Struthio camelus: one gene and its partners. The main gene of each other region encodes a partner of the protein of the gene in region 2 in a complex. Links are inferred from orthologs where the notes say so. Each region holds a gene or a part of one and is shown on either strand. Other genes may lie near its edges.

Region 1 (10,178 bases), on a different chromosome or scaffold from region 2:
GGAGAAGTCTGGTGTAGAAAAAGGATGTCAAGTCTATCTGGGACACATTAAGAACTGCAGCTGACTTGGAGTTTGGCAGTCTCCAAAGATTTATATCGAACTATAACAGCGTTTAGTGTTCTCACTTCTGACTACAGTACTTTCCAACCAGCCAAACAGATCAATATCATTTTCCTCTGCCACACACAGCTGAAGGAAGAAGTTGGTTTTAATAGACCTCAGCTACTGACCTTCTTTCCTTCATTCTCTCCTCTCCTTCCAACTTCCCATCCAGCACTTCTCCACATTGCATCCTACATTCTGACTTTTGGGCCACTGAGATGTCTGAAGCAGCACTATGTTCTTTCTGGGGAAATCAGCTTTGTACCTGGAAACATTTGAAAGCTTCCCTGTCCATATGAAAGTAGTACCCAACTCTCTTCAATGGCTGCGCCTGAGACAGTTTTGAACTTGTCGAGTATAGCTAAGGAGGTAAGTTCCTCCAGTTAATAACATTTTGAAATACAAATATAATCATTTTTCTGAGACTGCCAAATTGCTTCACAGATAGTAGTCTTTTGCTTCAAGGCAACAAAACATTCCTGAGTCAGAGAACCTGAGAGACATTCTCAAGGTCACCTAAGGAGCAGCAAAACTGGACTCAGAAATCAGCTCACAGCTTTAAATACTGTAATGCAAACACATCTTCTAGCGGACAGAGCTCCCAGCAAAGAGTGGAGACCCACTGTGCTGTATATACACAGCAAAGGGCAATCAAAAAAAAGAAGGCCTAAACAACCTAGGCAGGGAAATGAAAGCACAGAGGTAAAACAACTTGGTGATTTGCCCAAGGTAACCCAGCATGTCAGCGCTGCTGGGAATCCAAGCTAAGCCAAGCCTCTGACATCCCAGTCTAAGTCCTATAGTCTCTTGATCTTCACAACACCTCTCTAAATTTAGGTAAGCAGAACTTCAGCACAATTCCTACTGCCCTCCAACAAGCCTCAACCGCATAGATTACAAGGTCTCATCCAGGATTCCTGAAGAGATCCAAGGAGCGGACAACACAGACTGCTTTCCTATTCTAGGACCAGACAGAGAGTCATGGTATGACAGAATCTGAGAATGCATGATATTTATATAATAAATTAAGAGTTTAGAGCCCTGGAACTCTGATAAGCTTATCAGTGAATGCTGTATATAAAAAGCTCATCGCACCTAAACTGACAGCTTGTCGGTATTTACATAAATCCATCCACAAATGGTTTCATTAATTCCCTACTATTCTGTTCACAATTATCTTCCTTGGTTTTATCAGCTGCTTTCAGCTCGACTCTCCTACCTACTTATTTACAAGCTTGAGAGGAACCTTCTCTGTAGCTACTGAACTCAGCCACTTCAAATTTTCCCAGTCCTAACTAAACAGCATCCTCTCCTATTCCTTTCATTTCTCTCCCTGTATTATGACTCATTCAGGTTCTATATTTGCATTTAATTCCACAACTGTTTGGGGAAACAGTTTATGTGAAAGACAGCATGCAAACTAAGATGCATTGCAAATCAATGTTATGCTGAAAAGGCTTGGAGAAAGCATTATCTCAAACCACTAAAGCTTTTAGCGTTTAATTCTACATCTAGGAACAGAATAGAAAAATGCCAGAATTCTCCTAAAACATGGTTTAAAAGGGTCTATATTCAGTATTGACGTCTGCCAATAGTCAAACATACTCCACAACCAATTTCAGAAGAAACAAGATTCAAGCTGATACTATTAACGTGGTTCAGTTCTAAGTCCCAGGTCACGACATCATCCTTCCATGTCCTCTTAAGAAAATGGCATCACAACAACAGGAGTTAACCACATCCCCTGGGGCTGACATCTCTCTCAGAAGAGAGACGTGTTCAGTACCAAATTTTGCTACCCTTCATGCATAGGGTTACAGGCACTATTCTTCCCAGGTTACTCTTGTGAACGCTGCCAAAACACTACATCTGGCGCAGTCTGTAAACGCAGCTTTTCTGATCCCATTTCTAGCCTAGCCCTCCTAAAAAAAACACTCAGAGACAAAGATCTCTCTCTCCCTAAGAGCAGAGTTACCCTCAGAGAGGAGCACTGCACTGGAAGAAGAATCCCCTCACTATACAGCGGGGCAACCTAACATTGTCAGCCAAACACCACCAGGGAATAAGACAGAAATCAATCAGCTAACAGGAGTAATGAGACGTGTGCAAGAGAGAAACAGTGGCAAAAAGTTACCTGCTGGAAGCGTTATGTCTGCTCTTGATGCAAGAGTTTAAAACAAATCTTTAATCCTCACTTACCTGGCTGGCAAATTCCCTCAAGTGAGCCATGCCTACAGGATGGTCAGACATCCGCGTCTGCGAAATCAGGGAGGTTGGGTTGCTGTAGCACAGCGGGAAGGCAGTGCTTTCTCATCCACTGGTCAGCTGTGACAAGCAAGAACACAGCAACTCTAACTCAAGGTTCCCAGAGCCTGGCTCATTCCCCCAAAAAACTACCTTCAACTTTTTCTGCTCAGTCTGCAGTTTGCCTCGGACCCCATCAACCCGTTCAAAGTGTGCCAGCCCCTCCTTGCATCAGCAAACCCCACCTCGCAATTTTTCTCCAGACGTGCCTTCCAGACAGATCAGGAACCTCATTTTAACGATAGGCACCGACACAGCTTCAAGCACCCTCTTCCCTGCCATTACCTCACCACGCTCCCCGGTATATTTGCCGCTACGGCACTCTGCCGTCACCACAGCTCCCAGGATATATCCCCAGGACGCTCCACCGGATTATCCTCACATACCCCTTCCATCCTAGGGCTCCCCTGTAATCCTCTCAACGCGTGCTTCACTTAGGGTACCGTTTTCCCCAGTGCATCCATTTGCCAAGCTAAGCTCCCCAGCACACCTCCTCCCCCTCGTCAGGGTACCCCAACCCCACGCCACCCCAAAGCACCCCCAGACCCAACAAGCTCGGTGCTCCTCAGCAACCCGTCCCATAGGGCGCCCCGCTGTGCCAGCAACCAAACCACCCCAACGCTGCACGGCCCCGCACGACGCCCTGGCCCACCCCAACACAGCCCCAGCACAGTCCCTTCAGGGCACAGACTCCCAGGGCATGCCACCCCACCCCGGGCACCCCTCCCAGCCCTCCCCAGTGCTCCCAGTAAGGCACCTCCAGCCCTCCCCAGCCCCCTCAGGACACCCCACCCCAGGGCTCCCACCGGGGCTCCCCCGGCCCCCCCAGGACACCCACCGGGGCTCCCCCAGCCCCCCCAGGACACCCCACCCCAGGGCTCCCACCATGGCTCCCCCAGCCCCCTCAGGACACCCCACCCCAGGGCTCCCACGGTGGCGCCCCCGGCCCCCCCCCCAGCCCCCTCAGGACACCCCACCCCAGGGCTCCCACGGTGGCGCCCCCGGCCCCCCCCCCAGCCCCCTCAGGACACCCCACCCCAGGGCTCCCACCGGGGCTCACCCGGCCCCCCCCAGCCCCCTCAGGACACCCCACCCCAGGGCTCCCACCGGGGCTCCCCCGGCCCCCCCCAGCCCCCTCAGGACACCCCACCCCAGGGCTCCCACCGGGGCTCCCCCGGGCCCCCCCCAGCCCCCTCAGGACACCCCACCCCAGGGCTCCCACCATGGCACCCCTGGCCCTCCCCAGTGCTCCCACCATGGCTCTCCCAGCCCCTCCCCCAGCCCCCTCAGGACACCCCACCCCAGGGCTCCCACCGGGGCGCCCCCGGCCCCCCCCCCAGCCCCCTCAGGACACCCCACCCCAGGGCTCCCACCGGGGCTCCCCCAGCCCCCCCCAGCCCCCTCAGGACACCCCACCCCAGGGCTCCCACCATGGCTCCCCCAGCCCTCCCCAGTGCTCCCACCGGGGCTCCCCCAGCCCTCCCCAGCCCCCTCAGGACGCCCCCCGGCACGGCCCCGCGACGCGGCCTCCCCCCAGCGGCCCCGCTCGGCCCCCCGCAGCCCCCAGGCCCCGCCGCACCTACCCGGGCGGGCAGCCCGCCGCCGCCGCCGCCGCCGCCCCTACGGCCAACGGCCCCCGCGCGACGCGCGCCCCCGCCGCCGCGGCGCCATGCCGGGCCTCGCGCGCGCCCCCGCCGCCGCGGGGCCGCCCTGGGACACCGAGCTCGGCAGCGGGAACACCGGGCGAAGGGAGGGGAGGGCCGGGCGCAAGAGCACGGCGGGGAGGGGGGGCGGGGAAGGGGGGGTGAGGTGGCCGCGCCGCGCTGCCTCCTGGGAGACGTAGTTCCCTCGCCGCCGCCCGCCCCTGGCGACGCGGCACCCGCGGACTACACGGCCCGGCAGGCATCGGGCGGGGGCGCGGCGGGAGGAGGAGGAGGGGAGGGCGTGGGCGCGAGGGCTTCTGGGAGAGAGAGTCCTGCGGCGCGGCGGGCGCGGGCAGGCCGGGCGGGGCCAGGACTACCGATCCCAGTGGCCCCCGCGGCGAGGCGGTCGGGGGTGGGCGGCGCCGCTGGGGCCGCGGCCTGTGTGGAGGCCCGAGGGGCTCGGGAGGCGGCTGCCTCCCCTCCCCGCGGCTCCTCGGCTTCTGCTGCGGGGAGACAGGCCCTGCCTGGGCTGGAAAGAGCAAATTTGGGTGGCTAAAAAAAAAGCTGGGTGAGCGGAGGTGGGGCGAAGCGAGCGTTTTGGTCAGCAGCGCTTTCCTCATTGTGGTGGTGGTTTTTTTTTCTTTCTCTCCAGTGGCTGGTTAAGCTTTTGAATGAGGAAACCCGCCCTGGTGTGCTGAGGGTTCGGCCTTCTCATCCTCCCAGCGGCCATGCTAAGAGCTCGTCCCGACAAACCCCAGCAGAGCACCGTTTAAATTCACCCTCTTTCGGGGAAACCGGAGGGTTTGGGAATATTTCCTAAGGAAGCGAAGCAGCCCGGTCAGGCCGCTTTCCGCCTTTCTGTTGCCAGTCACCTTAAAAACTGGCCTTGGAAGTTTTCCTCTCAGTTAACAAAACGGGCACAAATTTCTGCCTCCGACGTGGCTGCCCACGCACAGAGCTTTTTCCATGATGATAACCTCGCCTCACACCCATATCCCTGTCCCAGCGCAGCACCTTGACTTAAAAAGTCTAGGGAGACGCAGAGGAATCGAAGCTTTATTTGATCTGAAATACCTGACGCGCGAAAGAAAATCAGCAGTTAGGGAAAGGAAGGAAAAATGCGGTTATGCTCCAGTTCTCCTGCAGAAAGGACGAAGGGGTGAAAACGTTGCCTTTCTGCTCATGTTTTTGCACACACACACACGTGTCACCCACGTGGTAGGGAAAGTTATGAGTCCCCATGTGTGTGTGACTCAGGTGGTGTTTCACCCTGATGGCCTGGGTTCTTATATCATGCAGACTCAGGAGTTTATCCATGTACTTGCATTCTTGGCAAGGTGGCAAATGCCGCACAGAAATGTTTATTAGGTTGAATAAGTACAGCAAGTCTGAACAGAGCCAAAAAGCTGTCTCACTAACATCACCCCTAGACCTTAGGCTGGCCCAGTGTTGAATAGTTCAGGAGCGTGATAATAGCGACCCTGAACTGCTGGGAGGAATGGCAATCAACTAGATTTGTAGGCTTGGTTTAGGGTAAGTCTTTAATAAGGATGATCAGTACTTGAGTTCCCATCTTAAAAGAAACTGCAAAAGCTGGCCAGCAGTTTTTGAGCAGGAAGACAAGCACGCTCAGGTGTAGGCTGGTGCGACCTGAATTCCCATTTGGGACCGGTGGGGTGTCTGCCTCTTAGCAACAGGATACTTGGATGAGCAGGAAAGTTGGAATGAAAACTGTGGTCCAGCTGCCATCTGGAAAAAGCCATTTACAGGTCAATAGCTAATCGGTCTGCTTTTGGCAAACCACATAGGCCTAGAGATCGCTGCTTCGTTGTGAGGCAGTTATTCCTCTAACTTTCTCTTACGAGGAGAGGGTTATTAATGTACTCAAAACCACGCAGTGCCAAAGTGTTGTCCCTGGGGATGCAGGCGGCCTTAACTTCTCTATGGCCACCAATGGCATGTTTGTGTCCATCACCTCCTCCATTTGACCTTCAGCGACATATCAACTGGAGCAGAAGCAAAATAAAAATGTCCTCTTCCATTAATTCCCTACTTTTTGGTCGATGCTGTATTCTTGGAAACCAGCTCGTATATTTTTTAACGTTTGCAAGGGCGATTACAGAACAATCATGCTGCAAGTTTTATGTATAATTGTTGCTTTAGCACCCAAAAAGTTTGGTGCTTATTGTGCTAGGGGCTGTACCTACCCAGAAAAAACACACAGTCCTTGCCTCCAAGAGGTTTAAGTTTAAAATAAGCCAGCCAGACAAATGAGAGAGAGCAAATATTTCTACTGAAGGAAGGCAGTGGGGAGTTAATTATGTGTTGGAGGCACCAGGCCTACGGAAGGTGTATCGCTTTCCATTTAGGGTTAAAGCTTTCACCTGGCCTTAAGGAAGCAGGGCTATCTGAAAGGGACTCTGGGATTAAGACTGTGTTTTTTTTTCCCCCTAGCCCTGTCAGTGTGAAAACGAACAGGCAGTTCCTTCTGACTCCGTGGAAGGTTACCTTGTTCCTGATGAGGTTAGTCATGAAAGTAAGTATGGCTGATGGAAAGAGCGGCTCTAGGAGCTGAGCCAGCCTTGCTGCCGTCCCTTTGTTTTGTGCAAGTCCTTTGACGCCTAGAAAAAGGTGGCCTGGTTAGCCTTTAACTTAGTGGTGCCATTAATAAGTTCTTCCCTGTCTGCTTTCACAAAATTGTAGGAACTTGGTATTTTGGCTGTTGCGACGCCTCTTCCCAAGCTGGTTACAACTGGCCAAAACCTGTGAGAGGGAAAGGGTCAACTATGTAAACACGCACGCATGCATGTTTGCCATCTGTGTGTTATATGGCTGTATATGCTTCGTTGTATGGAAAATAAGGCTAAAAACGAATGACTTTTGTATATATTGTTGGGTTTTCTCCTCACTACAGAGAGCAAATAACTTCTAAAAAGTACTGTTTTCTTGAAGGGATAAGCTGATTTGTTAGTTCTTTTTTTTTCTGGCACTCTTAAAAGCAGAAGGTTAGAGATTGGGAATAAAAAAAAACTAGATTAAGAGCTGGAGGGTCATCTCTTCCAGACACCTGTTCTTATTTCGTAATGAAACCTGAAGATTTTAGCTCTAGATCAGCCTCTGCCTGAAGAAGGGTTTCAAAGCATAATGTTTTGCCCAAATTGGAGCCATGAGGTTGACACCTGAACACGATTCTTGGTTATAATGCTCATTCATTTTTTATATATATATATATATATATTCAGTTTTTCTTCATCTGAGGTTATTGCTACTACTTAAGGGTAGGTAGAGGAAATTAACTGGCCTGCATAAAGTGCTAATTAAATTGCTTAACGTTCTCCCTGTAAAAAGATTTACTTCTGAAAACTATGTTGCACGTTGTTGACAGTGTGGCAGAAATACTGCTTGAGGTGACGGGTAATTCTCTCACTAACAGAGAAACCTTGAATGAGGCATTTCAAACTTTTGTCCAATAAACTGTTCCACTCCATTATGTTTATGTGAAATTCAGAGATAGGTGTAAATAGTTGCTATAAGAAGCTTTTTGACTGATAGGCTCTTAAACATTCCCTTGAAGTAACACATCTTTTACTTTTCCATAGGAAATATCAAACAGGATCACAAGGGATCCTGCAGCCAGCTCTCCTGATGGTCAGTGCCTTTCACCAGGTGCTTTCGAGAACAAGAAACTCTTCAGTGAGATGTCTCGAAGTTGCTTCCCTGCTTAAAGGTAAACATGCTGTAGTTGCATTAACATATCTCTGCCTGTTGCATTGCTACTTGGGTCAGGTGGAGAGGGTATTATACTCATTAGAAAAATGAGTATAATAAGACATCTTAAAGAGGGTCAGCCTGGTGCTGAATCAATTGTCAAAAGCAAAGAATGCTAGTGAGGAAACAGCGTCTGGTATCTCTGCAGCCTTGCCTTGGGTTGGAATTACTCAGTGGCCAAACCAAACTGTGCAGAAAGGACCTCAGGAACTAATGCTCTACATCTTAACTGCTTCAGCTTATGAAACTCTTTCAAGGCGGTGTCTGTTGGTGGTTGGTTCAAGCACTGATGGCTTTTTTTGGTATGAATTACTCAAAACCCCCACAGATGACCACCAGGATTTAATTCAGTCTCTACTTCTTGAGAAACTTGTTGAGATGCCTGCACTGCACCTCAAACAGCTGTATCCCTCAAATAACTGAGCAGAGAGGTACAGCGTGGCTAGTTGTGAGATGTGCTCGGTCCCTGTTGAGGTGTAGCTGCTAGTCTGTTGGAGATGGACGATTCTGGTGCTGTTATCCAAGTCCTGGGGCTAGCTCACTCGGCCTGCAGTAACTCAGGGCTTTCCATCCTGTTTTCCCTCTCATAGAGTTAACACTGATGCAATGGGACTGGAGAGTCGTTCAAGTGTCCTTTGCCAGACAAAGCTGGGAGGTTTTTTAATGGCCCTCAGAGATGGTCGGAGGGTTTTGGAAGCAAATCTGATTTGCTTTTTGTTGCTGCCACCAGGTGGCAACAGTGTATTGCAGCCCCATCCTGCTCGCAAGAAAGCAGCAAGTAAAAGCTCTCCCCTCCCTGCCGAATCCTGATTACTCTGTTGCTCTTATATAAAATATTTCCTTTTCTGTGCGGGTCGCTGGGTCTACCTCCCTCAGCCCTTCATGCTAGGATATGGAGCAGTGGTCAAACCCAATAACTGAGTACTGTGCACTGTTCAGCTTTATAGCGCACAAGTTTCTTCCCGCTTGCAAAGGAGAACCGAGTGGCTGAGTGGGGACCAGAGGAAGGCGATGGTTAGTGGTTAGTTAGATCACTAGTCTGTGCCCCTGAGGTTTCTTGCTCTACCTAATTTGCTGGGTGGCCCAGGCCAAGTTTGGTTCAGTTTCCCGTGTCTGCACTGGGGACAATAATAGCATTTCAGACGCTGTGAGGGTAAAACAGCAGAGAGTGAAGCGTGTGTCGCAGGAGATGACCATGACTGTGCACACAGATGGAAACAGCTTCTAAGTGACAGGATTGCATGGTTAGATTGGGCTAGCCATCTCAGCTTATTCTGTACTGCTCTGTCTTCTCTCTGTACATAAAGCTCTGCTCTTGGTATCTCTGATCTGTGAAAGGGCAACAGGTAGAACTGTTGCCTTCACCCCTCGTGACTTGGTGAGGTTTCCTTGAACTGATCTTCCTCTTCCACCTTCAGCCTACGTCAAGCTCTGTCTGCTGCTCCTTGAGCACTTAGTGTCTTTACCCTTCTCGGGGACGAAGGTAGTTCTCTGATGGGACAAGTACTATCTCTTGAAACGTGCAAGTTACCCAGTGCTGTGGGGCCTTGAATTGCCACATAAACATAAGAAGCTGCAGGGAGGAGGAGTGATTTGAAGCGACCCTGGTTTCACTGACTGTGAAGCAGGAGAGTACCTCACTGTAAGCAACAGCTGGGCTCAGGGCATAAGGAAGAATTTTTCATGCCCCTCCAGCTCTCTGTACTCTTGTTCAAAAGGGCAGTTTTGTCAGGAAGCAAACATGACTGGACATAGCTAATGCCAGCACCATAAGCCGTGACATGGCGTTACTCCCTCTGCCTCGTGCTGAGCAGATGGAGCATCGCTTGCAGCAGCAGCTTAGGCATCCTGAGCTTGGAGAGCCCACAATGGCACTAGTACTTTCCTAGCATAACCACAGATGTGGAGCACAGCAGTTAGCCTTAGAGGGAGTGCTAGGTGTTAGTAGGCTTCCTGAAGGTAGGGTTACTTAGGCTAGCATGAGTTAAAACTTTACTATAAAAAGTACAACTGAGTAACTCTCTGAATGCTGCACCGTTCATGCCGAGGAGCTATTTCTAGCTCCGTTAGCATGCTGAGAGGCTGAAGTTGTTTTTTGAGTTGTATTTCTGGAGATCAGTGATACAGAAAAGTACTATTACTGCAGTACACAGTTAAGCGTTAAAACCACAGAAGAGAATGAAAGTTTATTGTCAGGAAGATAAAACCTTTTGAATTTGTCACCCTCCCAGTGCATACTCTTGTTTCCAGTCCAAAGTGAAGCTTTCAAGCCTTAGGAAAGAATGCCCTTGTGCAGAGGGAAGCAAGAGTTGGACTTCACCAGCAGTTTTCTTCCTCACCATGGCTTATGGTTTGTATCTG
Region 2 (9,769 bases):
TGCAAATTTCATCCATCTGAGCAACACAGGTGAGGAGAAAGATATACACAATTTTTCCTTTTTTCTTCTTAGGTTTCCACTTCAACTTTGTGTTTGGTACTGCTGACGTATGAATTAATAGTCCTTTGTTTGAGCAAGTTGTTTCTAAGCTATTTTGATAATTTAGTCCTGTGTGGTGCGCAGGAGCATAACCAAAGTCCTGTTCTCAGAAAGCATGCAAGTTACATAATTCCATCTTAGAAGAATAAAAGCCTGAGGCGTAACATGTCAGAAGATATTCAAGTGAGACCTGAGAAAGGGAAGACAGTAAAACTACCCCAGTAGCACTGACAGAGTTGTTGCATTTTCAGTTACCAGTAAAGCAGTATCTCACAGAAAAAAAAGATGAAGAATTGATACATGTGGATCCTATTGCAAGATTGGCCCTGAATCGTACTTTCTACATGGTTACTCCTTTTCTAATGTCATGACTATTTTATCTGGATTGTTTTACACATGAAAATAGCGTGGATCAGAATTCCTTTTTAATCCTTACAAATTTTCTTATCCGAATAGGTATAAAAAAAAGATTCATGCTGTAATAGAGGTAGAACCATAGTAGAATTGGAATGTGTAATCTGTAATTTATGTGGCAAGCATTATTTACAGCATTGGAACAGGTGATTAACATACAGAATGGAGATGTCCACTGGTATCACTCATCATTTATGTAAGTATTTTCCCATCAGGCCAAAAGATAGCCTCCAAAATTACACCCATAAATTTTGCTCACAAAAACGGCAACACAAGCACACAATTTTGTGTGGAAATACTGGAATAAATTCTCTGATTTGAATGTACAAATAAAAAAATAATTTCAAAAAGCATGCAAACATCATTTTGGAAGCTGCCTTTGAGAATTACTCTAGTGTTAAAAAATTACATCTTCAATTTGTATTTCCTTTAGAAATAATTCTGAAAAATTATCCTGTAGAAACAAAAGCCTATGCTTGCCCAGTTTAGGCAAAACAATTAAATTACTGAGCTCTGTTTCTATCAACAGAATTTATTTCTCCTCTTTTCATTTTCACTTATAGATAGAATGTGTTAAAATGAATTTTCCATAATTAAAATGTAAAGAGATCTGTGAAGTGTAATAAGCAAACAAAAAGCATATCTATGCATGATGACGGGTCGAGAATCTCCCACTCCTCCATCAAGCTCTATGTATTTTAGAAGCTACCATTTATGATCAATAATCAAGTCTCTATTTAGAAATAGAGTCATATTTCCTGACACAATTCTTATGTGTGCTCTCCCACACATACCTGCACATGTGTATGTACAGTCATACAAATGCAACATGAATCACTGTTTTTATGCATACCGAATCAAATGGTTCAAGGGAATTGATGCAAAATGCAAGCCTTTCATATCTCTGCCATTTTGCTCATTTTAGTAATGAAAAGACATTACTATCTGAAGCCTGTTTGTCAGAAATGAATAGGCATTCTCATTCCAGGTCAGTGGACAACTATCTGCATCACAAATGGGCTTAGGAACAGAGGACTAGAAGGGACTATCCAGATCCTGATGGACTGTCAAGTCCAGCTCTCCCAATCACAGGCAACCATGCATTAGAAATTTTGTCCAGAATAGCCTACAGCATTCTTCCTCCATCTGCGAAATACCTACAAAACCGTACGACAACATGAAGACTCCTGAGAAGCAAAAACCAAAAGCCTCAAAAAAAAAAAAGTATACGTAGAGAACGGGGCATCAGCAAAAGACATAAAAATGTCTTAAAATTGCAAACTTTCCCTCAGAACAAATTACCTTCCCGAATGACTGCGTGGCTCTCCACTTCCTTTGCAAGAAATCTCTTCTGTAAGCATAATTGGGCATAATTATCTACTACAGCGCAACTACTGTAATTTAAACATATCTTGTCATACTGTGTTTAAGATTTTACCCTCTTTAAAGTGTCTCTTGCAGATAAATAGCTATGAGAGAAACTGGTACCATGATTGGCTTGTGTGATTCACAGTTGTAGACTGATAGACTGCGCAATCTTTGATGAATTACAATACAATGGCTTTAACTCACTCTAAACCAGCAAGCAGACAGGCTGAAGACTAAGGACCTCGGCTCATGAAGAGATATGCCTTTTGATTTTAGTGCCCCCAAGCAGGCTCATCCTCCCCTGCCTGAACAGATAGCTAAGGTGTGTGTGAAACAGTTATCTAACAGCCTTGTATTTCAAGGCAACCTTTTATTTAAGACAATCAAACCTGTTTGGTTTTCTGCAGAATGACGAGAAACGGATGGTTCAGGAACACGGCTTCCAGGACAAGCCAGCTCTGTAGGCATGTAGTAAGCTCATGAGATACCTCAATGAAAGTTGTCTGTTTGTGAGTCACACCTCTAAACCAGTATCTGAAGGCAGTGGCTGAAACCTTTTGGAGAGGCACAGCCTGCAATACCTGTTCTGTAGATAAAAGGGAAGCCTTAAATCTCCAGGGTGGCCAACCTAGCAAATTCCACATGCAGTAAATCCAGGAAAACATAATTTTAAGTACTCTTCCAGTAGATGCAAACACTTGACATCATTAACTTATTTTGTCAAGAGATTCCTCCAATATTCATACATACTCTGATAGATATATTACAAAAAACAAAAAACACACAACCTGAGTTTGAGACTTACATCTGGCATTACAGCTGTCACTCAAATTGGATTTCTGTCTACTGTACTGCTATCACAAAGTTTTGCAACAATTCAGGGATCTAACTTAAAATGTAAGTAAGAGATTATATCTGAAAAACAATAAATGCACAACTGCTTTTTAAAAATCTGCTTTGCCAAGAGTTAAAACTGAATGTTAGATAGAACTGTAAGCCTGTAACTTACTGCACCGTTCAACTCAACACAAGGGTATAAATGAACATTGCACTGGTTTTCTGGATGCAGAGATGTGTCTTAATTTGCATGTACTATCTGTAGAACAAAATGAGTTAAACTGTCAAGAGAAGTGAAGAGAGAGAAAAAGGCCTAACTGGTAGGGGCACAAGCAGGCGACAGCATGGGAACAAGTATTTTTGACATACACATTAGTCTATTAAACTATCTGGCTATGCACTTATTGTGAAAAGGTAAGTAGCAAATGAAGACCGCTCATGTAATCAACACCCTTATCCTTCCTATTGTTGTTCTCACCATGGACAAGGCTTTAATAACGGTCATATACAGTTATTACTACTTATCAGTAACAGTACTTGTTTTTATATGGTAGATCTTGTTACTGTACAAAATACAGTTCATCTAAAGATGAAACACCTTTGTCTATGCTGCTTTAAAAGAAATCACTGTGTTCAGCTCCAGGATCAGACATTTAAAAAAAGTAACCTTATTATGCTAGGGAAGTCAGGGAGGAAGGAAAGAGTAAAAAAGTTTTCCTTTGCTGCTTAGTTGTCAAAATCCTGGCTGAATACGGTAACAAAATGAAATTGCAGTAACTCCTCTATGTTCAGGAACAGGGAGCGTCTTAAGACAGTAATTGAAAAAAGGCTAAATTTGTTGAGAGGTTAGTATTCGTTTTTGGTAATGATTCAATACTGTTCATTGGACAATGAAAAAAATCTGCTGATGTTGAAACGACTCGGATTTAGATAGGCTAATCTGCATGGAATCAGGAAGCCCGCAGGATTAAATTTTAGTAGGAAATGATTCAGTGCAGAAGACAGATAGGAATGGGTAAAACAACTGAAATATCATTATGTACCTGAGGAGAGATGAGTGGAGAAACACCAGTACCGAATGAGACAAGTAGTAGCTATTTTTTAGTAATTAACACAATTCCAGATCTATCTGGAGCAAGCCTTCTTTAGGAAACTACCCATATTCTTACTGAATGAGTACAGTACGCAGACATTTGCAAGAGAGGCAAAAGAAAATCCATCTTACTTAAAATGGGTGATCTGCAAGTCGTTTCAAATAGGATGTGATGATAATTTATAAATGCTGCATTTCACAGCAATAATTTGTAACTGGGATAATTTGACCTTATCCATACTACAGCAATAAATGGAGCATTTGCTATCACAGATAAAACTAACCAGATGAAACAAATCAGTAATGCCCTGAAAAATCTCCCTCGTGTGGAAAAGACTGGGAGAAAAAGAAAGGAGAGGAGACACGGACTGCCCCTTCCCATCAAGGGACACAGGAAAACGTTACAGAAGTCCCTTACCCTTCAGTGACATACTCCAAAAATGACCATTCATTAAAAATGATCAGGCAACTTCCCCAGACATACCATGCATTTAAGAAAAGCATTCTAAAGTTCCCTACTTGTGAGGTAAATTAAATGTACCATTAAACTACACCGAATTTTAAGGACTTAAACTCTGCGACTTCTCATCTGTTTTTCTGCACATCAGTTTAAACAGCGAAGCAGCGCCCTTGCCCGCACCGCCGGCCCCTCAGGCCGGGGGCTGCCCCTAAACACCCCTTTAGAAAAACAACACGGCATCTTTGGCCTAACGCACCCAGCTTTATTTCTTATAAAAGGAAAACGATGAGCTAAGGCCCACAGCACAGCTAATGGCCAAAGCTAGAACTATTTCCACCAACTCTTCTAATTACTTTGTAAACTCCCAGAGAACGGAGCTTTTAAAACTTCGCGGGCTGTATCCCGGCACCACGTTATTGCCGAAACTTCGGCCATCGTGACCTCGGTAGCCTTCCCGCAAGCCCAGTGCCGCCGTTGCTGCCTGACGGACAGCGAGAAAAGCGAAGAGCGGCGGCGCTGCCGCCCCCCGCCGCCTCCCCGCGGCGCGGCGGCCGCCAGCCCGGCCACCATCTTAACTCGGGCCGCGCTGGGCGGGGCGGCACACGGCGCCCCGCGGCGGCCGGAGGGGAGACAGGAGGGAAACGAGGGCCATTGCCCGAGTGACTACCCCTTGGTAGCGTGCCACCGCCTAAACCCAGAGCGCGATCTGTCCCCGGGTGCGGAGCGAGAGGCAGGAACCGCCTCCGCGCCCTCCGAGGGGAGCGGCGCCAGCAGCGCCGCCGCCCGCCCGCTCCCACCTCAGCGCGCTCCCCCGCCCCTCGGGCACGGCGCTTACCTCGCTGGCAGGCGCATGCGCACGCGCACCGCAACGGCCGTGCCCGGCCGGGAGAGGGAAGACGGGGGAGCGAGGGAAGCGGTTTTTCCCGGCATCCCGCGCGCGCCGCGCCGCCCCGCTCCCCCCCCCCCCGGCCGCGGGTGGGTGGGCCGATGGCTCGGAGGCTGTAATGGCGGCTGGCGGCAGCTCGGCGCGGCTCTGACATCCGGATACTGCTCGGCGCAGGCCCCCCCCCCCTTCCCCACTCCCGTCCCGACCCACCCCCCCCTCCTCCCCGCCCCAGCCAGCTCCGCTCACCCCCCTCCCTGGCCCCTGCTCCAGGCCCCCGCCGCGGGACGAGGAGGAGGGCTCCCCGCAGACAATGGACGAGCACCCCGGAGCCGGAGGAGGCGGTGGGATGTCGGCCGCCCCGAGACCGCAGCAGCCGCCGCCGCAGACGGCTGGGAACATGAACCTGCAGTCGGGTGGGGGCTGCGTGGGGGCCGGGGCCGGCGGAGGAGGAGGGCAGCAGCAGCAACCGCAGGGCCCGGCGGCCCCGGCCGGCCAGGAGGCGGCGGGCCCCGCCGAGCTGTCCCGGCCCCAGCACTACACCATCCCGGGGATCCTGCACTACATCCAGCACGAGTGGGCCCGCTTCGAGATGGAGAGGGCGCACTGGGAGGTGGAGCGGGCCGAGCTTCAGGTACGGGGGACGAGGGCGGGCTCCGCGGGGAGGGAGCGAGGCGCGGGCTGGGACCGGCGCGGGGGGCCGGGCCGCGGTTCGGGTGCGGGAGCAGAGCCGCGCGGGGAAGCGGAGCCTGTCGGGGCCCGGAGGCCGAGCCGGCCGTCAGAGCGGCCCTGCGGCTCGGCGGCGGTACCTGGGCGAGGTGCGGCGGGCGAAGCGGCGTTGCCGGTCGGCCGGGCTGGCGGAGGCGCAGCCCCTCACGGCCTGAGCTGGGCTCCTTTCCCTGGGGCAGCCATTTTGGTTTTTAGCATGGCGCCCGCCTGGGCTCCGGGCTGCCGAGGCAGCCCCTGCTCGCCAGGCCTCGCCCGCGCTCGCCTGGCGGGGCCCGCAGGGCGCCGAGCGGCGGGCGGGCGGGCGGCCGCTGCCTGGGCGCCGGCCTGCTGCCCCTGCTGCCCGGCCGCCCGGGGCAGAGCGAGGTGCCCCTTGACAGCTGCGGTCAGCTCCCCGAGCACAATGACTCGGGGCCCTGCGGGCCGGCGGCCTCCGCAGCCCTGGGTGCCGCGTACGGAGAGCAAGAGCCTCCGGGCCTGGGAAGGCTGAAGCCTCCCTGGAGCTCAGCGAGCGTTGCTGTGTGGGGAGAGGGGGTTGTGAAGAGTACCTGCTGCCCGAGGAGGCTGAAGGCTAGGAAAGGGTATTCAGGTAAATCTCACGTAAAGGGGTTTCCCAGGCGTCGAGGTCTGGGGCAGGTTGAACGTGTCCCGTCTCTTCCTTTCTCGCTTCTTGAGAGATTTCACATCAGAGAAACAACTGCTGAAGAGCAGTGAGGAGTTGGTAGGTCTGGAGCACGATGGTTTTAATACACATAACAGCACAGACTTAACGTTAGGAACAGAAATTGAACAACCCTGTAGGAGACAGAGAAAGCGTTTGATTTCCAGTGTAGATCACTTGCAAATGGTGTTTGCTTTGAGTGATAGAAAGGGTACCTCAACTAATTGCTTTTTGCACATAAAAATAAAACTGCATAGACTGTCACATTTATATACAAATTACAAAATCTACTGAATTGGAGGTATCCATATATGAATGAATGGATGAGACATTATTGTTGACTATCATTGTCTGTGGCTTTGCCCTAAAAAAATCAAAGTTTATTACTTTCAAATCATTTTTTGTGATGTATGTATTGAGTGAATGTTTACTGTGTTGAAGCAGCATTCCATCAAAGTGCACTGTAATTAATAGCATGTTGCAACAGCAATCAACTTTTGTGGTGGGATATACTTTCAGATTTCAGAAACTAGAACTATACTTGAGCCTGGGCAGTTCTTTCAGGACTTCTAACCTCTGTAATTTGCAGTGTTTTTATTAAAGCTATAATTAAGAAAGAAGCCCCCAAAAAAGTGAAAAATGAGAGGACTTCACTATTTACTTAACTTACTGCAGGTCTTACTATTTTAAGCTTTGTGACACGATTGTTTCTAAAATCAGTTTGGTGCATATTCGTGGGCATTTTCAGTAGGGAACAGTTGGCTATTTCTCTTGTTTTCTCAGCAGTATAGGACTGCGTTTATAAATAAGTTGCCTAGTGGGCATGCATTAGCAAAGAAAATAATCTGAGAATATTTATGCATAGACTTGTTATTTTGAAACTAATACCTCATTCTGAGCTCTAAATGTAAAGCTCAGTTCTAAGACCTTGAAACCTGTATCCAACTGAAAAGTGCTGCTTTTGGCCTCTGGACACTATGATGTGTTCTTGCTAAGTCTCCTGCTTTTGCTTGTAATTGTTTGTCATCCGTGGTCATACTGTTTCTGTTACTTGCATGTTATTTCTGGATGTACTATGGTAGTTCTGACCCTGGCTATGTATGTGTTGAGTCACTCTATTTCATGTGTGCATCAAGTCATGGGATGCAACAGGCATATCACTGCCGTGTATATGTATGAGGGTGTCTTTTTTTATAACATGGCAAGCCCGGGATAGAAATGTAGGGGGCATTGCTATTGGATTTTAAATGTCAACGTGTATGGTGATGATAACTGTTACAGAAATGCGTTGACAATATTTTTGAAAGAGATGTGTTCGACAGGCCTGCTTTGTTCTTCTTCCCCTCTTTTTCCTCTTGTACTCTCAAGCTGTGAAGTCACAGTTCATTCTGTGACTAATAAACTAATAAACAAATAATTCTGTAGCTAATAAAGCCTTAACGTTTTAGACCCCAAACTATTGCCTGTTGAAACTGCTGAGACTGTTGTTCATCTGTGTGATCCTAAGTAGATGTAAGAGTTTTTAGAGGATTTGAGGCCTCCTGGGTTGAAAGGAAACAAGGTTGCAAGTCTCATCCATGCATGTAACTTCTTCCGTTTTTCAACATTACAATAAGCTTTCTAAACAGTCTTTTTTAGTGCAGGTAATTACAGGTTTCTTCCAACCTAAGTTAACTCAATAAGTTTGCAAATGATGCTTTACAAAAGGTATATGGAAAACGAAGTGACAGCAGTACCTTGTGATTTTATTGACCTATTCAGAGGGTTGAATTTTTGGTTGTTACTCTCTGGAAGAATAAGATGCTTTCTTATCTGCAGTATGAAACTAATATCACTGTTGAGTGATTCCCCCCATATGTTTTTTTTTTCTCCTTTCCTTTCTCCTGTGTACTTAAAGTGCCTCAGAGAATTGTTGACCCCTGGTGAGAGTGCCCTTCACATGCTAGAGAAGGTGGGGGGTGTCCTGTAGTAACAGCTTATACTTTTTCAGATCATATAATGATATTGAACACTTTGCTCAGTTGTTCTACCTGTGCATGGGACAAATTTTTATAATTAATTTAAATTACAAGCTACTTATACCACAATCATAATGATTGGTCTCAACTATTTGGTTTTGAAGCAGTCCTGTGCTAGGTGACTTAAGTCACCACATTCATGTCAGTGAAAGACTCTGACTCTAAAAAGTTAATAACTTTGTGCTGTCTTTTCAAACTATTCAGCTCCATGTATGCACAAGTGAAGTGGCATAGTTGTCAAACCTGTGTGTGTAGAGTCGAGTACAGAAATGTTGAATATCGGAGTGCAGTACTTAAAACATAGCATCTTTTTTTCATCATTTTTAATACTGGCTGCCACAGTAACTTTTTTTTTTAAAATTTTCTCCCTGCTGTGTGTGAAGGAACTAATTTGCCTGTACTCAGTGTGTAGATCTTTCAGAGTTATAGGCTGGATTTGTTTTCTCTTCTGTGAACTAAAAGAATGATTCTCACTGTAACAAATAGTGTGTAATTACAGCTGTAGTTTTGATCTGTCCGTATAATGACCTTGATGTTGGTAGCTATTACACTGAAATATATTCAGTCCCTGTGAGCTAGCTAAGATGTTTTTGCACTATAGAGGAGGTATAGCAAGCCCATGTTGCTGGATGTTACATATTTGATGGAAACAATTGTTTCCTTTTGGGGGGGGGTAAGTGCCTCGGTAATCTCATAAAAGATATATGATTGGGGAAACGCTTTGGACAGGCACATACAGAAGCCCTCAGAGAAGGAAGATAAAGCTGTGTTAAGGAGGGGTTCCATGGTGGGGGAAGAAAAGAAAACTGAAGATCGTGCAACTTGCTGGGTACCTAGGAAAGTCAATAGGATTCCAATCTCTTTTCGGGCTTATAGATTGATATGCTTTGCAAGAATCAAAGTCCCAATTATATGATTAAAATAGTGCAGTTTTTTCATGCCTTCTGAAGTAGATAAAAACAAAAGTTGAATACTCCCTGATATTTTAAAATCGCAGAAGAATATACGGAGAGAAACTTAACAGTAGATGCAATATCTGAATGTTCTAATAAGTAGGAAGAATAATTAAGAAACAGAAATACTTTGAACAATGTATATACGGCTGTATGATTAAACAGTATACATCCTACTAGAGAACTCAAATTTACATAAGGATTAATCAGCTTGTTAGTCTGTTTTCCATCATATGAAATGACACTTTCAGGGTCAT
Region 3 (9,661 bases), on a different chromosome or scaffold from region 2:
CAAAGCCCCAAACCAGGTTCCAGAGACACACATGTCGACAAGAAGAAACACAAGTGACAGAACCACCAACATTTCCATTAATTAAATTAATATTTCACAGATTTGGATTTTGCACAACAAATTAGAATAGGAAAAATTTACACACAAGAACTCCGTCAGCTAAAAGCAATTTCTTGAGTGATGTTTCATTGCTGAGTTTAAGGACTTGTTCAGAACTTTAGCATGCTGACAGACAGCAAGATTTCCTCGCTCTCCACCCTAGAAAGGTTAATTGCTACTCATTTATAAGCTTCCAGATAAGAGAGGCTGGAAAGTTCCGTTTTAAGATGTTTCAGAGCAATATGAGATGATGCCAATAACATAAGCTCATCAGAAGATGCATCGACCTGAAATGCACGACACAGCAACTACTTTAAACTTTCTGATCATTCGAAACAAACATAACACTTTGAACTATGCATCTTGCCTGCTGGGCAAGAAAAAAACAGTAGCGTAACACCCCTAATAAGATGTCCAACACCTTCACTCCAGCTCTGGTAACACTTCTATTTTCAGCACAGTCCCTTGATTGATGAAAGATACTGGTAGGCTCTAACCTCTTTCTTGCAAGCCATATCCAGAAACACTCCCTAACAGTTAAACCAGATTCCTTCAAGAGGGTGCCAGCGGACCAGTTTCTCACTGTACGATCTCAAAGCATTCCAGACTAAGAACTCTTTCAAATATTGTTATCCCATTAGAAAAAGGCACAAAGTTACAGTGACATTACAGTAAAAAACAAACAAACAAACAAAACTCCAAACAGACACTCAAACTCATGGCAAATATGCTTCATGCAACCCAAACACCTTAACTGTTCTCAGGTAGCTCCATCAACCTTTCATTTTTCCTTCTAACCTGAGATGCTACATAAAATGCCATATTCTGGGGTATCATACTCAACTTCAGAGCACTTATTTTATAGATTCATTAAGTATTTTGATTTCACTAAATGGGCTAAGCTGGACAGCTGGGTAAGTTAACATCATACAGTTACAACAAAGAGAACCTTTCCAAAAAGTGAGAAAAAGAATGTGCGTAGGAAGTCATTTGCAGAGGCAAAAATTCTTAGGTATAAAATTTGGTTTTGTTAGGAACAAAAGGCAGGTTAAAGAGAATGCAGCCACTATGTACACAAATGGTTCTTTAAGTACTCTTAAGGGCAACAAATAACACTACCTCTGGGTCTTCCATTACTGACAGGGTACTGCAAGTCACTGCCTGAGTTCGCCAAAATAACTCTATGTGACCCTCCATTGTTCTCTCTGTTTGATTTTTTTTTTAAGGGAAGCTGACTCTTCATTAGATGAAAGGTCTTAAAATAGTCTAAAGAGCTTCTGTAATACTCCAGTGACAAACAGGCAAAGTTCTCCTTTTGCAATGGCTATGGGAATTATGTAATAACGTATTTCTGATAACCAGATTTTGCTATATAATGAAGTGGGATGGAAAAAACAGGACTATAGCATAACTGAAAACCTCAAACCTGTAACACATTCTCTGGCAAATTCAGTTTCCAGCTGTTACCTTCAAAAAAATGCTTCCCTCAACACAGGCTACAAGACAAGGAGATTGAGACTACAGGCACTTTCCCACAGTGCTAGTTTTAACGTAACTATTAGATCTTCTTCCATTACACAAGAACTCGTTTATTCCTTCTTCAATTAATCATCATGCATTTATTTTAACATTGAGCCACTGAGCATAAGCAGGGACACTTTTATAAATCACTTAGATGATCCTGACTAAATAGTTCAAATAGGAGTTGCTTCTTCTGTTTTTAACCTACACTTCACACTAACAGATTCTTCTAGATTATATATGTTTTCAAACTGTATTATGACTCTTCTTAAAGAAGAACTAGCAGAATAATTTTGCACTAAATTCAACTTCTTCATATTATAAGAAGTTTCAGGACTTGTGTGTTAGTCTTCACCAAAAAAAAAAGTCACCAAGGGAAAACAGATCTTAATTCTATGCAGCTGTACATATGTAACAGTTAAAAAAATGCTTTAAACCTACAAACATATCTTAAGAGGTCTGGGTTAAACTAACAACAATACCAGTGGAACTAACTGTGCCACTATATAAAGTTTATTGGTTTAACAATGCAAAACAGGGCTTTAAATAATTTCAATGTCTTTTGTGATGACAGGGCAGCTAAGGAAATAGGAAAATAAGCAATTAATAAACTTAGATTTCGAAATGTAAGTCTCCCAAATAGGGGAACACTTGAGGGAAGAAAAAAAAAAAAAAAAGAGATATAAACAAAAGAAGCTCAATCAAAGCTTCTGAATCTTTACCAGGAAATTCTTTAGCTTCCCATTGTTAAATATGTACCAATAACAACCTTGATATATCAGTAGAATGGGGAGACTTGAGAAAGTGTGGTTTATGTCCTCTTTCATCAACAGAAAGTCAGTGGAATAAAAAATTAAAAAATAGAAGTTAACAGATTTCTGATTTCTAATAAATTGCAGGCTGAGAAGTAACACAAACCTTAACATTATAACTAACCTAATTTAATACATAAATACTGTTTATACGTTCATTCCACGCTTCTTAAAACTGATGAAGGTATTTGACCAAAATAAATTTTAACTTTCAGTTTTGAAACCTCCTGAACTGTTATCTGTGCATATCTCACCTATACAGAGATACAACGTACAGGCTTCTATATTATCTGAATCGAAGAAACGCTAGACGTACAGGCATGACTACCCCACAAGTGAAAAGAAAGCTGAAAATACTGCCTGGGTTGCCAGTATCCGCCAAACATAAACCAGCACTGAAATGAGCTTGGTCCTTAGCGCCTTTAGGTTCAGTAAAGGCCTCAGACCAAGCTTACACTAGCCTGTTCAGAGGAATAAGAAGTAAGAGGCAGAGGTATCCTGGCTTTCCTAAGAAAAGTCAATTATATACGGGCTTGTGCGTATTTTTAAGCAAATACCACAAGCAGGATCACACTAAGTCTCCTTCCTAGTCAGGGAGCGGCGGAAGTCCCTGACAGATGAGGGCTCCTAGCAGGTGGCCGGCCGCTCGGCTGTACACCGGACCTCACCTTGAGCATCCCTCAGCAGAGCTCACGGCGGTCTCCCCAGACCCAGCGCCACGGGCCCCGCGCCGAGCCCGCTTCGGCGGGGAAGTCCTGCCGGAAGCACGCCGGCCGGCCAGGCTGACATGTCATTTACAGCACACCCACGCACCCTGCGATTAACTTCGGTTTTTGCCTTTAATCAGCTGGAGAAGCTCTTACGTGCGGCTGGATGCGGCGCGGCCAGCTCGGAACAAAGAGGGAAGGGAGGGAAGCCCTTGGCCCCCGCAGGTGCCCGGCCCGGCGGCCGCGGGCAGCTCCCTCCTCACCTCATGCCAGAGGGGGAGCCCGCCGGGGCCCCGCGGCGCCCCCCGCCCGGGCTCGCTGCGCAGGGACGAGGCGCCCCCGCTTCCCCCCAACCTAGGCCCGGCGCCTGCCCCGCGGCGCCTCGGCTCGGCCCGGCCGGGCCCTGCTCGCCAGGGGAGGCCCTTCCGCGGCCAGGCCGCGCCGCCCGCCCGCACCCGGCGCCCCAGCGGCGGCCTCCGCCCGGCGGGGCCGCGAGCGCCGCTTCCGGAGCCGGGGCCCAGCCCGGGCCCGTCGCCTCCATTTTGGGGCCGGCGCGGCGCGCTGCTCACCTGCATGCCGGGTACTTGCACCGCCACCGGCGAGTGGGCCATGGCGGGCTGCGGCGGCCGGGCGCCGCCCGCTGCTCCCCTCTCTCGGCCTCCCGGCTCCTAGGCGGCGGCAGCGGCGGCGGCGGCGGGGCCTGGAAGGACAAAGCGGCGGGGAGGCGGCTTCAGCGCGGGCCGCGCTCCCTCCTTTCCCTCCCCGCGCGGCCCGCCCTGCCCGGGAGCCGCCCGCCCGCCCGCCGGCTCGGCTCACCTCGCGGGGCTGGGGCCGGGCTGCGCGACGCGGGCGGCGAAGGGAGGGGGGGTCGCTAGCGTCGCTCTCCCATGCCCGCCGGGCTCCTAGCAGCGGCCCTGCCGGCTGGCGCCGCTCGCCCTGCCCATGCCCCCCCTCCCCGGGCGCGGCGCGGCGCGGGGGCGGCGGCCGGCGCGCTGCGGGGCCCCCCCCGGAGAGGCGCGAGGGCTGGCGGCTGTCGGCGCGGCTGGGGCTGGGGCTGGGGCTGGGGCTGGGCTCAGAGCGCCATGGCGGGCTCCGACAAGAGGCAGCGGCTGCTGTACGGCGGCGGCGGCGGCTCCTTCCGTCTCAGCTCTGGCCTCGCGGGGCGGAGCTGCCGCCGCCGCCGCCGCACGGGCCGCGGCGTCAGCTGCCCCCGCCTCTCCGACCGCCTCGGGCCGCCGGGCGGGCGCGGAGGGAGGGGCGGCGGCGGCCGCCTCGGCGCGGGGACCCGCTCGGCCACGCGCGTGTGTCACCGTCCCGCGCCCTGAGACGCGCCGTCGCGGCGTGTGGGGCCGCGGGCGTGTGGCACCGTCCCGCGTGTCCTGAGACGCCCTGTCACAGCGTGTGGGGCCGCGGGCGTGTGGCACTGTCCCGCGTGTCCTGAGACGCCCTGTCACGGCGTGTGGGGCCGCGGGCGTGTGGCACCGTCCCGCGTGTCCTGAGACGCCCTGTCACAGCGTGTGGGGCTGAGGGCATGTGGCACCGTCCCGCGTGTCCTGAGACGCCCTGTCACAGCGTGTGGGGCTGAGGACATGTGGCACCGTCCCGCGTGTCCTGAGATGCCCTGTCACAGCGTGTGGGGCTGAGGGCGTGTGGCACTGTCCCGCGTGTCCTGAGACGCGCTGTCACGGCGTGTGGGGCTGAGGGCATGTGGCACTGTCCCGCGTGTCCTGAGACGCGCTGTCGCGGCATGTGGGGCCGCAGGCGTGTGGCACCATCCTGCGCCCTGAGATGCGCCGTCACGGCGTGTGGGACAGCGGGTGTGTGTCACCGTCCTGCGCCTTGAGACGCGTCGTCGCGGCATGTGGGGCCACGGGCGTGTGTCACCGTCCCATGCCCTGAGACGCCCTGTCACGGCGTGTGGGGCCGCGGGCGTGTGGCACTGTCCCGTGCCTTGAGACGCGCCGTTGCGGCGTGTGGGGCTGCGGGCGTGTGTCACCGTCCCGCGTGTCCTGAGACGGGCCATCACAGCGTGTGGGGCCGCGGGCGTGTGGCACCGTCCCGCGCCTTGAGACGCGCCATCGCGGCGTGTGGGGCCGCGGGCGTGTGGCACTGTCCCGCGTGTCCTGAGACGCCCTGTCACAGCGTGTGGGGCCGCGGGCATGTGGCACCGTCCTGCGTGTCCTGAGATGCCCTGTCAAGGCGTGTGGGGCTGCGGGCGTGTGTCACCGTCCCGCGCCCTGAGACGCCCTGTCACAGCGTGTGGGGCTGAGGGCGTGTGGCACTGTCCCGCGTGTCCTGAGACGCGCTGTCGCGGCATGTGGGGCCGCAGGCGTGTGGCACCATCCTGCGCCCTGAGATGCGCCGTCACGGCGTGTGGGACCGCGGGTGTGTGTCACCGTCCTGCGCCTTGAGACGCGTCGTCGCGGCATGTGGGGCCACGGGCGTGTGTCACCGTCCCATGCCCTGAGACGCCCTGTCACGGCGTGTGGGGCCGCGGGCGTGTGGCACTGTCCCGTGCCTTGAGACGCGCCGTTGCGGCGTGTGGGGCTGCGGGCGTGTGTCACCGTCCCGCGTGTCCTGAGACGGGCCATCACAGCGTGTGGGGCCGCGGGCGTGTGGCACCGTCCCGCGCCTTGAGACGGGCCGTCACGGCATGTGGGGCCGTGGGCGTGTGGCACCGTCCCGCGCCTTGAGACGGGCCGTCACGGCGTGTGGGGCCGCGGGCGTGTGGCACTGTCCCGCGCCTTGAGACACGCCGTCGCGGCGTGTGGGGCCGCGGGCATGTGGCACCGTCCCGCGCCCTGAGACGCCCTGTCACGCCACCCTGTCTTCTTAGGCACGCTGACACAAAAATACAAGCAGTCATGCACATTTTGTATTTTTTTGGCAGTGTCCTTTCAAGGCTGTTGCAGAAGAGGTGGCACCTCCTGCCTCATGGGCGCTCCTGGCAGCCGGCTTCAGAAGGGTGGTGTGGACAGGTCTGAGGTTTCCCACCAAGGCCAGCTCTCCCACTGCCCAGCTCCAGCTGCTGTGGGACCAGCCTAATGTGTACTTCGGCCCCACCACCTTCTTCCCTGTGGGGGTCAACCCTCCCTCAGATCCTGCCAGGGTCTGGAGAGGAGAAAATAACAGTGTTTTAGGGGACATTTGTGTATGAGTCACTTATTCATGTGTATGACTCACCTTCCTAAACGTGAAGGTTTTGCCATTTACTCATGTGAAGCTAAAAAAATGACATCTTTTATGAGGCTGGTCTTACCCTCACCCCGTTGAGCAAGAATATAGAAATCACATTGGCCCATTACGCTCATGCCCAGCTACAAATGTCCTTGTGAGCACTTGTGGCCGTCCCTCAAATTCACAGATTTGTGGGTCTCAAAGCCAAGAAAACATAAGGTAAGTTGCTCATGTTAGATGGAGGCTGGGTTGTTGTGCACCCCAGACCTACCTCGTTCGGAGGGTGGTTCCCTTGGTTAGGGACGTGACTGAAGGCGATCTTCCTCCGTTACGACATGGAGAAGTGTTGCGCTGCAGCAAGGAGCACAAAACACCTCTGTGTAAGGTGAGGTTGCACTAAAACAGTTTAAAGCCAAGAATTTCAAAGTTAGGCAGACTTTCCATCCTTAACTCACTGTGGCTTGAACCCAAAAAAACCTCACAGTGATGCTAGTTAAGGACAGGCTTGTGGCTCATGCTGGAATTTTTTTTTTTGACTTTCCCCTTTGTTAGACCTTTAATGTTATTAAAATATTTAGTTTTCCTTTGCACCTTTTAAAAATACACAGCTTTAAAAGGCTTTTAAGTGACAGTTACAGAAGTTATCAAGGAGCCTATAAGGAGATCGGTTTCATGGGTGGCGTATTTAAGGTAAGTATTTTCTGGGGGTTCATACCATATACTAAGATTCAAAAATGTTTCTGATTAACCAATAAACCTTTGAGGAAAAGGGCTCATTTATATTAGTGAAAAGCTTTCTTAATTGTTGTGTGCAACGGTTCAACAAATAAATGAATGAATATCCATTGAGGGAATTCCTGACTCCTGCCTGCTTCACTCTGCTCAAGCTTACTTAAATCGCTTCTCATCTTACCTTTTAATGATCTTTAGAACATGATTTCTGAAAAAAATCCCCACATGAAACGAAACGTGAAGATTTTTGTTCCACACTGCTAATGCATTACCGTTGTAGCTCCCTCTGTTCTGACTCTGAGGCTCTGCATTTCTTCCCCCCCCCCCCCAAATCCTGCTAACTCGTTATCTCAGCCTAATCTGAGACATATTTCCTTCTGAAAGTATCTATTCACTTTAATTCAGAGAGCGTCCTAATTGCCAATCCATGCTTCCTGTTTTGGGCCACATACCAAGACATTCAGCCTTTTATGCCTTTCTAACTTCTTCACTGCATCCGGCTTAATATGGCATGAAAAGGATGGTAACATATTTACTTAACAGAGAAAGAGCAGGGCAATTGGTATGCATGTAATAATATATTTTTCCCAGTAGATATATCTGCTCCCCGCCCGTGGCAGATTGGCTGAGAGAGCTGCAGTGACAAGAACATAAGCAAAATGTTCTGCAAAAAGGTAACACTTGTTTATGCCATGCTGGCTCAGAAGGACCTGGGATGATATGGTGAGCGAAGCCAGGGAAGCAAATCTGTCCGGGAATCTTAAAGTAATCAGGCAGTCATGTAACGACTGAATCATCAAGCCAGGCTGTGAAGTGAAGTAGGATGGCACCATAGCATCTAAGAAAAGGGTTATAATATTATATACCCCTCTGTAATTAGCTAGCTCGAATTTGTTCAATAAGAAAGTCATATGGTCAGTGGCTGATATTGCTGCGTGAAAGGCCTTCCCTGCCCCCTCCCACACCCGGCCCTGTAAATACTCGTTGCTGCTATTTTTCAAGATTTAAAACGCATCTACAATTCACCTAGGGCAGCTCACAGGGCCTCATAATTGAGTTGTGACCCAAATCAGACCTTCTACTGTATCATGCATTTAACTACTGGTTTTGTGTTGCTGGTGTGAAAATATAAATAATTTTTACATTAGAAAACTGCAGGGAGCTAGTAAGAACACTAGGCTCTTTGACAGCGCTTGTACCATGTTAGCTGGTTTAGACCTACCTCCGAGGGGTAGAAGTTTCTCTCAACTCCCAAACATTAACAAATAAAATGTAATTATTTACACTGTTAAGTAGAAAATCACTGCATTTTATAGCTGTGGACTCCGTGGACTCCATGCAACGATTTGCTGGGGTGAGGGAAGGAGCGGGTGTTTGATCCCATCAGACTCACATGTCCATCTAGGAAATGCCATGCCAGCTTCTACACATTGGTGGCAGATCTAGGTATTTAAAACCCTTCAGTGCCTTTGGCAAGCTCAGCTGGATGGTGCAGTGCTGACCCTGGGGCTGCGTTTAGAGGGGACTCCTTGGCTGTGGCCAGCACAACCTTCCTCTCTAAAGTCTGGTCTATATTCAGTAACGAGAAAACACAGTTCTCCTCCTCTACCCTTTCTCAGAATACAAGCAGCTCAGCTAGCGGGTCATCCTGTAGAAGTGGAAGACAGTATCCTAAATTGTTAAAATCAAACGCCTTTCATGTTTTTACCTTCAAAACATTCTGCCAAAGGTGGTGTGGAGGTTAAGAGCTGACCGAAAAGAGTTGACCTGAAAAAAAGCCTGAATATTTATTTTATTAATTAGAACACCAGTCATAAAAAAAGAAGCATGAGAATATTTTAGGAAGGATATAATTTCTCTGGTCTTTGATATAAATCAGTCTCTGATTCATGGGCACTAGGAATCACTTTTTCTTAGAGGCAAGTTATTCAATGGCTGCAGAATTTCTAGCACTGCTGCTGGAAACTGTAGATAATAGCAAACAGGGAAGACAGATGTAGGTCTCTTGAATCCCATATTACAACTTCGATATTTTTATAACCAGTAAATCATTTAAAATTATAAAACTGTGCAGTGAGACCAGAAACGGTACCGCAGTCCACTCATTTCTGCCCATCACTTTCCTTTCCACGTCCTGCATCCATCCTCCTTGCCTCCCTTCATCCTCTGGCTCCCATAGCATCCTCCCTTCCCTATTTCTGCTGACTTCTGCCGTGGTTATTTCCAGCCTCCTGCTGCCGGTGTGCAGGGTAGGTGAGTGTGAGGACGTAAAACAGAGGCTTTCTTGGTACCAGCATGGTGATGGCAGCCCAGTACCACTAGGAGAAACGGCTGGTGAAAGCCTTCCCCAGCGTTGCGTTCCCCTTGAAGAGTCATTTTGCAGGACAGCATGTGCATGCAGCTCGTTGACCACAAATGCATTATTTAGAGAATTCAGCTGCCAAAGTCTGCCCGTGTCAACCAAGTGTTCACAAATGGAGCTTTTTCACATAATAGAGCCGAACTGAGCAGTTTCTCCAGGAGGCGACAATGGGCACATCCCTGACACAGGATCATGGCTCTACTACATTCCAGCTCCTACCTCAAAAGCAGAGGGACACGTGTATTATTTAC

The links. The genes of interacting proteins can lie anywhere in the genome.
Region 1: STRN3 (region 2) and STK25 share a complex: the UniProt entries of both Homo sapiens proteins name them as parts of the core of STRIPAK complex. The link is inferred for Struthio camelus from reciprocal best matches to the Homo sapiens genes STRN3 and STK25.
Region 3: STRN3 (region 2) and STK26 share a complex: the UniProt entries of both Homo sapiens proteins name them as parts of the core of STRIPAK complex. The link is inferred for Struthio camelus from reciprocal best matches to the Homo sapiens genes STRN3 and STK26.

The regions. Positions count from the first base shown.
Region 1 is NC_090950.1:3,606,133-3,616,310, reverse strand, and holds the start of STK25 (serine/threonine-protein kinase 25), read right to left. Parts: upstream 4,073-10,178; 5' UTR 3,990-4,072; exon of another isoform or gene 3,986-3,989; intron 2,428-3,985; 5' UTR 2,353-2,427; coding exon 2,302-2,352; intron 1-2,301. UniProt on the Homo sapiens protein: Oxidant stress-activated serine/threonine kinase that may play a role in the response to environmental stress.
Region 2 is NC_090946.1:53,285,837-53,295,605, reverse strand, and holds the start of STRN3 (striatin-3), read left to right. Parts: upstream 1-5,260; 5' UTR 5,261-5,467; coding exon 5,468-5,788; intron 5,789-5,963; exon of another isoform or gene 5,964-6,092; intron 6,093-9,769. UniProt on the Homo sapiens protein: Calmodulin-binding scaffolding protein which is the center of the striatin-interacting phosphatase and kinase (STRIPAK) complexes.
Region 3 is NC_090952.1:24,283,042-24,292,702, forward strand, and holds the start of STK26 (serine/threonine-protein kinase 26), read right to left. Parts: upstream 4,073-9,661; 5' UTR 3,956-4,072; intron 3,840-3,955; 5' UTR 3,751-3,839; coding exon 3,709-3,750; intron 1-3,708. UniProt on the Homo sapiens protein: Serine/threonine-protein kinase that acts as a mediator of cell growth. Modulates apoptosis. In association with STK24 negatively regulates Golgi reorientation in polarized cell migration upon RHO activation.